Drosophila melanogaster: one gene and its partner. The protein of the gene in region 2 interacts with the protein of the main gene of each other region in a pairwise test. Each region holds a gene or a part of one and is shown on either strand. Other genes may lie near its edges.

Region 1 (4,424 bases), on a different chromosome or scaffold from region 2:
TTTGCTTTTCCGGAATACTAACTAACAAATAGTACTATACGATAGGTGGCAAGTGACATTTAAGGCAATGCATCTCTAAATTGACAGTGACAATGCTAAAACGTGGATGAAATTTTATTTTGCCTTTTCGATTTGGTGGATCAACATTTGTAAGAATTCCTTGATGGCTATCTTCTGGACTACGAGATTACAAGAGTAAGCTTCGAATTAATGAGGTCCTTTCCAAGACGTAGTAATTCAAGTTTGTAAGAATTCCTTGATGATTTTGATCCCGAGCTTATAAAAATTTTAGTTTAGGAATATTGGAACCAATGAGAACTATGGGAAGACATCGACAACCCCAGGCGAATGGACGGCATCCTGCAGCATCCCAATGAGCAAGAATATACATAATTCGAATCATCACGGAACATATGATGAAATGGATTCCCTTAAGGTGGCGGTATGCTGCTGAGTGACCAAAGAAGTTCATTGCTAACCAATGGCGAGAAACTTTGACCCCATTACGAGAACACAATCCTTGATCACCTCATTGTATAAATCGTTTCCCTGACAGGTGCCTTCACCGACTCCCGCTAGAACAGATTATACACTGCCTATGGTGTATACTTTGTGTTAGCGGGTGTCGGAGAAGCCACCAGTCAGGGAACGATTTATACAATGAGATGGGCAAGATCTTAAATAGTGATTCCGCTCTTATGGATGGCATTTGACCATTAAAAAGAAAGTTATACTCAAAATCTAAGCGCATAAAAGAGAACTAGTGAGACTGGAACTTATATTATAAATAAATATTTAAAACAACTCCTTTTACACTCATTATTAATTTACCTGCTTATCGCTAAACACTCAAAATCTACTTGACTAAAATGAAATATAGACAAGCATCATGTAGAACATCAAATGCAGAAATATCCAGAACCAATAAATCCTGTAAGAAATTAAATACTTTAATGTAATTTTTTTGAGTCCAAAGATGCTTTACAATATGGAACGGGACTCTCCTTATCCCCATAAAAGGAAAATTTGAACAACAATCCTATTCTGAGCTGGATACTAAGACGGAAATAATAAACGAACGACTCACCTGGTCACCATAAACTTGTTTGAGTCAACGGTGAACTTCTCGCGGTGCAGGTACTTGTTGATCCCAATCATGTGACGCCGCACATACTCGTCATAGTCCATCTCCTCCAGATTCCAGTAGAGAGTGGGATATGTACCATTCTCAATCATTTCCTTGAAATAGAAACGGCTCTTGTTCTTGAAGATCCACTCGTTCAGCGAAAAAAAGCTACCTGTGGGCAGTTCAATGAACGATTGCATTTGCTAAAGATGTTTCATAAAGATACCTGCTAGGCAAGCCTGTCGGAATTTCTTGGCAATTGGTGTCACCAGTCGCTTCTTTTGGGCCAACAGCAGGGTTTGCAGATCCATTAGCAAGGCGGGCACAAAGTGAAGAACCCATACAGCCAACTCGTGGTTAAAAGCACTGCACCTATACTTGAAGTTGGGAAACATAATCATCCGCCGGGTGGGATAGATACGAGACCACTTCATTGTTAGCTCGCCAAGATGCTGCCAGGTGATGGGATTGGTCACTCCGGAAGTGGCGTTACAGATGCTCAAGCTTTGGAATATCAGCATGAGAACTAACATGATAAGTATAAGGAGTATTTATTATCCACTTACCTTCCCAATTTCGCCTTGCCGACCATCATGATCATGGCATTGACCACAAAGTCCACTGGGATGATGTCACATATAAGATCCTTGTTCCCTAGGATGCTGCTGATGCCGCCCTTGCCAATTTCCATCATAATACCGCTGATGGCCTGGATATTGTCAATCCATCCGGGATAGGGCTCCCTGTACGCAGCAGTGACTATCGAAGGCCTCACTATCACTATGGGAATCACATCCTTGTATGCATTAACAATCTGCTCGGCAATGGATTTGGTGAAGGTGTAGGTGTTGACATGCGGACCCTTTATATAATCGGCCAGGCGATTCAGATAGTCGTCGGGTATTTTCTGGGTGGCAGAAAGAAACTGTCGCCAATCTACCGGCGGCATGGTGGGGTACACTTGCTCATCAACATACTTGCGACCCGGATTGCAGTAGGCCGTCGAGACGTACAGAAAACTCTAGAGATTTTACCCATTACTTAGCAGTAAAGATAAACTCTACGGACTGGAGCTCCTTACCCTTAGATAAGGCATCTGCCTGCAGAGCTCTAGAAGATTGTAGGTGGCCTGTGAATTTACGCGAGCCGACACTTTTAGACACTCATTGAATCGTACCTGGAATTTGATGAATCAAACAATCAGTGTGAAAAATCTTGGGGAATCCCCCTCGGACTCACTGTTGCTGCACTGTGGAAAATAATGTTGACCTCGGCACACAACACCGATCTGTCGGACTCATTTAAACCTGTTGGTGGAAAAGTCTGGTGAAGTCATGAGTTTTCATTTAAAGTTTCTCTGAAAAGCCATACCTAAGTTGTCGTCCTCAATGTTGCCAGAGAAGTGAAAGATTTTCTTCAGCTGCGTTGGATGCTCCGATTTTATGCGTTCGAAAATGGGATTCTGAAGGAATCCGCGAAATCGTTCCTCTACTGTGACTCCGCCCTTAGGTCGGATGAGCATGTAGATCCGCTTGATCTGCGGAAAACTCCAGAGCAGCTTCTCCAGCAGCGACTTGCCCACAAAGCCAGTTGCTCCTATTAAAGTTAACCATCTTTGAACAGTCTCTTTTGGAGATCGCGTCTGTATTACCCGTTATGAAGACCACAGCATCTTGGTAAATATCCGTCTGGTGCTCCACAGTACTCACTTCGGCGTTGTCCATGGTGTGGCCACTTTGAAGCCACGATAGCTACTGATCCGGTGAGCTACTCACTTTCAACGCCTAACTGGCTTGGCAAAAGAAATGCCTTGGTCCTCCCGAAACAAGTTTTTCGTGAAAATGCAAGTGGAACATGCAATTGGCCAACGAAAATAGCAACTCAGACGTAACATTTGAGCACAAACATATTACATCATATTTCGATGGGGATGTGGACAACACTAGACCTTCGTTAATGATCATTGAAGAAGTCATGAAGTGGGAGTCCATACCATTGGCTAAGAGTTCTAGGCCATTTTCAATAATTCAAAAGCCATGAACTTGAAAACTCCGGAGTAGATAAGTATTATATCTATTATATAAAATATGGCGATACCATTAAATTAAATGTATCCACAGCTGCGAAGCTTTCCAATCAGTTCGAATTCCGATGTTGTTTACCTGTCCAATTCATTAGCTTCAATCATGTCAATTGCCCGCCACCGCGATCGGATTCCCCGGCTAGATCCTCCCATAAATCCGTAAGATCGCCGCGAAAATAGATCGCAACTTGTCGGCCAAAATGTTTGCACAATCGGTTAGGAACGTTGCTCCGCTTATTTGGAATGATTTGATTAGCGACGACGTCGTAGGCAGGCACCGCAAACCGGAGCCCTCGAGTTTACCTGCCCAGGTGAGGTGCTAAGCGAAGTCGCAGTCATGCTGGAGGGTCGGCACTCCCAAGACGTGGTAACTAAATTTGGCAGCTAACTAAGAATGAAGAAGGATAATCTTTATCGAGGCTGGATGCCCAATATACGCCGAAACTCACCTGCTCCTTTGGACTTGGGCCACATGGCGCATAGCTTCACCTGCACCGATCCGAAGGCCAACGAGGTATCTCCTCAAACTCCACACCCGAAAGCAAATAATCTAGCAGATGACAACGATGACGATGTCATCACACACATCATGGGGAACTTTGGGCCCTGGCAACTGCGCTCCCTGCTCATCCTATTTCTCTGCAAGATTCCAGCCGCCTGGTTCATGGCCTGCATCCTGTTCACAGCGCCGGATCTGTACCCCGAGGAGGAGTACAAGTGTGATACGACGGCTTTCGGGCCGGATGTCAACTCCACCGTCTCGCTGGACCACTGCTATGTGATGGTTAACTACGGAGAGTCCGCCTACGCCATGCGCCAGTGTCGAAAGTTCCTCTACACCACGGGTTTCCACTCCCTGACCATGGAGTTCGATTTGGTGTGTCTGTGCGACTTCTTTGTGGCCTGGTCTCAGTACTGGCACCTCTTTGGCCTCCTAATCGGTGGCGTGGCGGCCACCAAGTTGATGCGGGTCCTGAGTCCCCGACAGATTTATAGAACTGGCATCTGGTGCCTGCTCATGTGCAGCCTACTGATGGGTCTTGTCAAAGACTTCAGTCTGCACTGTGGACTCCGATGCCTGGCTGCTGTTTCGTGCTGTTTTATGATCACCTCGGGGCAGTATATATGTAAGTAAAATTGAATATTTAAGAATACTTTAATATTAAATAACCTACTTTTCAGTTGGTGACATAACAGCGGGAAAATATCGCGTAG
Region 2 (3,777 bases):
TGGGCCCTGTGCGATAGGCCAAAGGAATTTTTCAAATTTTTTTTGTTCTGAGAACACAAAAATCTCACGAAATTTGTATAGCATTTCATCCTTAAGAAACTCAATTCACAATATTTATAATTTAGCTAAGGCGAATTTATTTCTAGTTCATGTTATCATGTTATCTCGAACTCACCGTTTATCTTGTATAAACATTTACCAACACAAGCACCTGAGTGTACATGAGGGTGTATGACAACACAGGTACGACCAAAAACTATTGTTTTTGGGCGACGAATTAAAGAAATATCTATGACTTTACTATTACTTACCGCTTCGAAAGTAAATTTATCTGCTCAAAGGCAGGTTAACGCACTTTTGACGCACTTAGATATTTAAATTCGACAAAAATCCCCGACTATGAAAACTGTGTATATGAGCGCAGAACAGATAACCGATAACTCCTCTATCGCAGGTGGCTGCCAACTTGCTTCAAAATAGAAAGCGCACTTTTTAAATTTCCAAAAGTATTCAAACACTGGTCTTTAATTTCTTAATACATATTTAAGTTGGGCAAGCAATATTGGTTTATGCAGTCGTAGAAGTGGGTTCATCGGTTATGGTCACAGCAGCTGGCGGCGGATCGCCGGCCTTCCGTTGATCCCTAAAGAACATGACCCACGCGCTCTTATGGATCTCTATTCCATCACATAGGCCATACACCTGGGCAAATCCGAAATAGGCAGCAACAGCGGCGACACCGAAGAGAGGTACCATTATGACTAGTCCTCCCAGGCAGGCGAAGAACACCATGGACACAATGGTCAGGAGTGTGCCTAAAACGAGTCGATAAGAACGTGATCTCTGGTAAACACTACGGAACGCACCTTCTAGCACCAGCAAACCTGTAAAGGTCATAACCATGGTGGCTATTCCAAACCCAAATATTATAAGGAAGGGCAGCATGAATACAAGACCACCAGCTAGCAGGCAGATAGCAACGTGCGGATTCCGGGTGCACCAGGCCGCGGTGGCCTCCAGGAAATCATTTCCACCTAGCTCGGACATCACAAAATCTGCCAGGCGGCAGATTTGAAGCCCTGCAATATGGCAACGTTATAACAAAGGCAACTTTTGTTACGCGGTGTGATGCATAAAACAGGTTAACAACCGTACAGAGTAGTACATATATAAGTAACTAATTGTGGCAGTAAGCAATTAAGCGCTTTTACAGATAGTACTTCAACTAGTGGACATACATGACCTGTAGAGAGTCTGGAGCAAGCTCTCCAGGAACTGGTCGCCAGTCAGAACTCCTGCACTACGATCGCCTGGGCCATGTATCTTTACGTGCTCCGGTTTGCTCTCTGTTCCCGATCCCGCAGACTTCTTGGCGTTTGCCTCTTTGGCTGCTTTGCGAGCCTTGTTCGAGTGAGCCTGCAGAGTCGATCAAATCAAATCAGTTATGAATATTATGTGAGTCAAAGAACCCAAGTGATTAGATGCCGGCTGCCACTGAGTCCGTGAAACGCGACCTTTGACTTGCGATGCCGATTCCAGCCGAAATCTACGGATTCTTCCGAAGATGCCGGAACACCCACTTCACTCACACCCGTACCCACCATGTTGCGTGGCTACTGCGAGAATCTCAGGCGGTTGCTGTGCGCATTACAGGAGGAGTCTGTTCCAGGTTCATTCGCCTGCTTGAAGCAACAGTAAATGAAAACAATATAAATAAACAAAAAATAATCGACGTCGTAGCCCTGAAACTAAATCATCGAGGGAGAGCTGCCACCTTTTTTTTTACTAAATTTGAATTAGACAAGATGCGTTTCTTAATAATGATCTAGCGTGGCTTAGTTTTGCTTTTTAATCATAATTAATTTGTTTACAAAAAAAAAATTAACACTATGTTAAAAAAAAAATTATAAATTTATAATGGCGGTCAGCGTGCGACATTTCTTCGCCGTAGGATTAGTGAAGCAGGAATCTGAGTCCGTTAAACGGAGGACGCGCCGTAATCCTCTCCGCCACCAAGCGCTCCCCGTGAACAGTCATGCCGCAGCGCACCTTCTTGGCATGCAGAAAGTTCAGATCGGCGGCTCGCTCTCCACTTTTGAGCGGCAACCAGCCGTACACCTGCGACTCCAGGAGCGGAACAGCTTTTCCGAGCTGCCTCTGACGCTCCACATGCTTCTCAGGCCAAGTGTGCCGTAGGTACCTCAAGGTATCCGTCGGCTGGCGTTGCTCATACTGGGCGTAGAACTTCCGTGTTAGCGGATGAACTGGAAGGCAGGAGAAGATATTATTAGCAGTAGTGAACAATTTTGTAAACTATTGTAAAACTTTCAATGATTAAAGTTTTATTTTTACAGGAGCGCTACGATGCAACAAGCTTGTCCTCAAACATGATATACCGAGCTAACCAGAAATCTCTAGCATACCTTGGCTCACTGGAACAAAGGTTTCGTAAAGTCGGATGTGCCGGTTAGATCTATGGATCAGCTCCTTTTCGAAGTCGTAGGGCAGCGGTCGGGGATCCCCCTCGCGATGATCCAGTGCGTCGCCATTCTCCTCGACCTCGTCGGTGGTTTCGAGTCCCGGTTTCATGCTCCTGCACGTCTACTATTTTGAGCCCCGAAGGAGAGCTCTGTTTACGGAAATCCAGGCAATCCGTCCGCAACGCGTGGCGTGCTCGGTTCGTTTGACTGGCTGCGGACTGCGCTGCATCAAGGACACCTACCCCCCACAATCCCCTTGCCTGCCGCTCACTGCCTGCCTGGCTGTCTTTTCGTTTTGGCAGCAACTTGTACTCATTAAAGTTTTCCTATTGTTGCTGCATGGCAGGCAACGTTACCAATACTGTACACGCATCCCCACGACGCAGCCCACGGGGCCCAAGGAGTTGCTGCTCCCAACTCCCGGGGGTGTCGATGGCAGTGGTGTGACCCACAATCACAGTTTCACCAACGTCAGAGGCGCCTGTCGGGCGAATTTCCCCAGCAGGTGCTGTGGGCTGTCCGCGATGTATGCGATTGGCTCAAGAGAAAGTAAAAGGACGTCAGCCAGTGATGAGACGGATCACTGGTTATATTCAAGATTGGAATTGGTTGAAGTATAACCAAGTGTACCGAAGGCGAAAGTCATCGATTGGTTGGAACTGGAACTTATCTCGCCTATTTTAAGGCTAACTACTACATTGTAAACAATAGGAGCTTACTATACCTTCGCATCACTGCTTCCAGCACCCAAGGGCTGGCTCCATTCATGTCGTTGGCGTAATTTAGTACAAGCCCAAAACCCAAATCCCTGAAGTAAACAGCAATATCCGAAAATAAACCCATTCGAGCGATTGCCTTTGCGTGTCCAAACAATCGCAGCCACAAAATTATCTAGAGGCAGAGGAGCAGGTGGCCACCACATCCGGCACTTGGCCGCCGCGATTCTCAACATTTGCTTCGGGTTGTGCAACTCTCTCGATTCGTCGTAAATTTTAGCCTAATCGAATCTAATTGAATACATAAATACGGAAATAAATCAATTTAATTACAATACAGCCAACAACAGTCATCGCAAATAGTTTACACGCACACAAGCACTCGAACCATTATTATTACAGATATAAATTTGTTTAAGCCTTGGTAAGGTATTGAGAAAACCTCAAGAGTTGCGGGTTCATATGCTAATTAAATTAATTGTCGGCACAAGTAGGACCACTTAAGGTTCTTTAGCTATACATATTTTTGGAAGTTCTATTATCATATCTTAACTGAGCTTTAAAAAATCGCTGGTAAACAT

What was found.
Region 1: the proteins of Ldaf1 (region 2) and CG4770 interact in a two-hybrid assay, tested with the Drosophila melanogaster proteins (one large-scale study listed by BioGRID).

The regions. Positions count from the first base shown.
Region 1 is NT_033777.3:19,916,958-19,921,381, reverse strand, and holds CG4770 (uncharacterized protein), read right to left. Parts: upstream 2,876-4,424; 5' UTR 2,851-2,875; coding exon 2,778-2,850; intron 2,723-2,777; coding exon 2,498-2,722; intron 2,434-2,497; coding exon 2,366-2,433; intron 2,304-2,365; coding exon 2,208-2,303; intron 2,148-2,207; coding exon 1,693-2,147; intron 1,631-1,692; coding exon 1,353-1,630; intron 1,299-1,352; coding exon 1,088-1,298; intron 932-1,087; coding exon 865-931; 3' UTR 798-864; downstream 1-797. Other genes in the region: CG4465 (uncharacterized protein), read left to right, coding at 3,604-4,336, 4,392-4,424.
Region 2 is NC_004354.4:1,900,199-1,903,975, forward strand, and holds Ldaf1 (lipid droplet assembly factor 1), read right to left. Parts: upstream 1,714-3,777; 5' UTR 1,605-1,713; coding exon 1,515-1,604; intron 1,417-1,514; coding exon 1,239-1,416; intron 1,080-1,238; coding exon 867-1,079; exon of another isoform or gene 816-866; coding exon 568-815; 3' UTR 501-567; downstream 1-500. Other genes in the region: CG32801 (uncharacterized protein), read right to left, coding at 1,954-2,264, 2,424-2,589.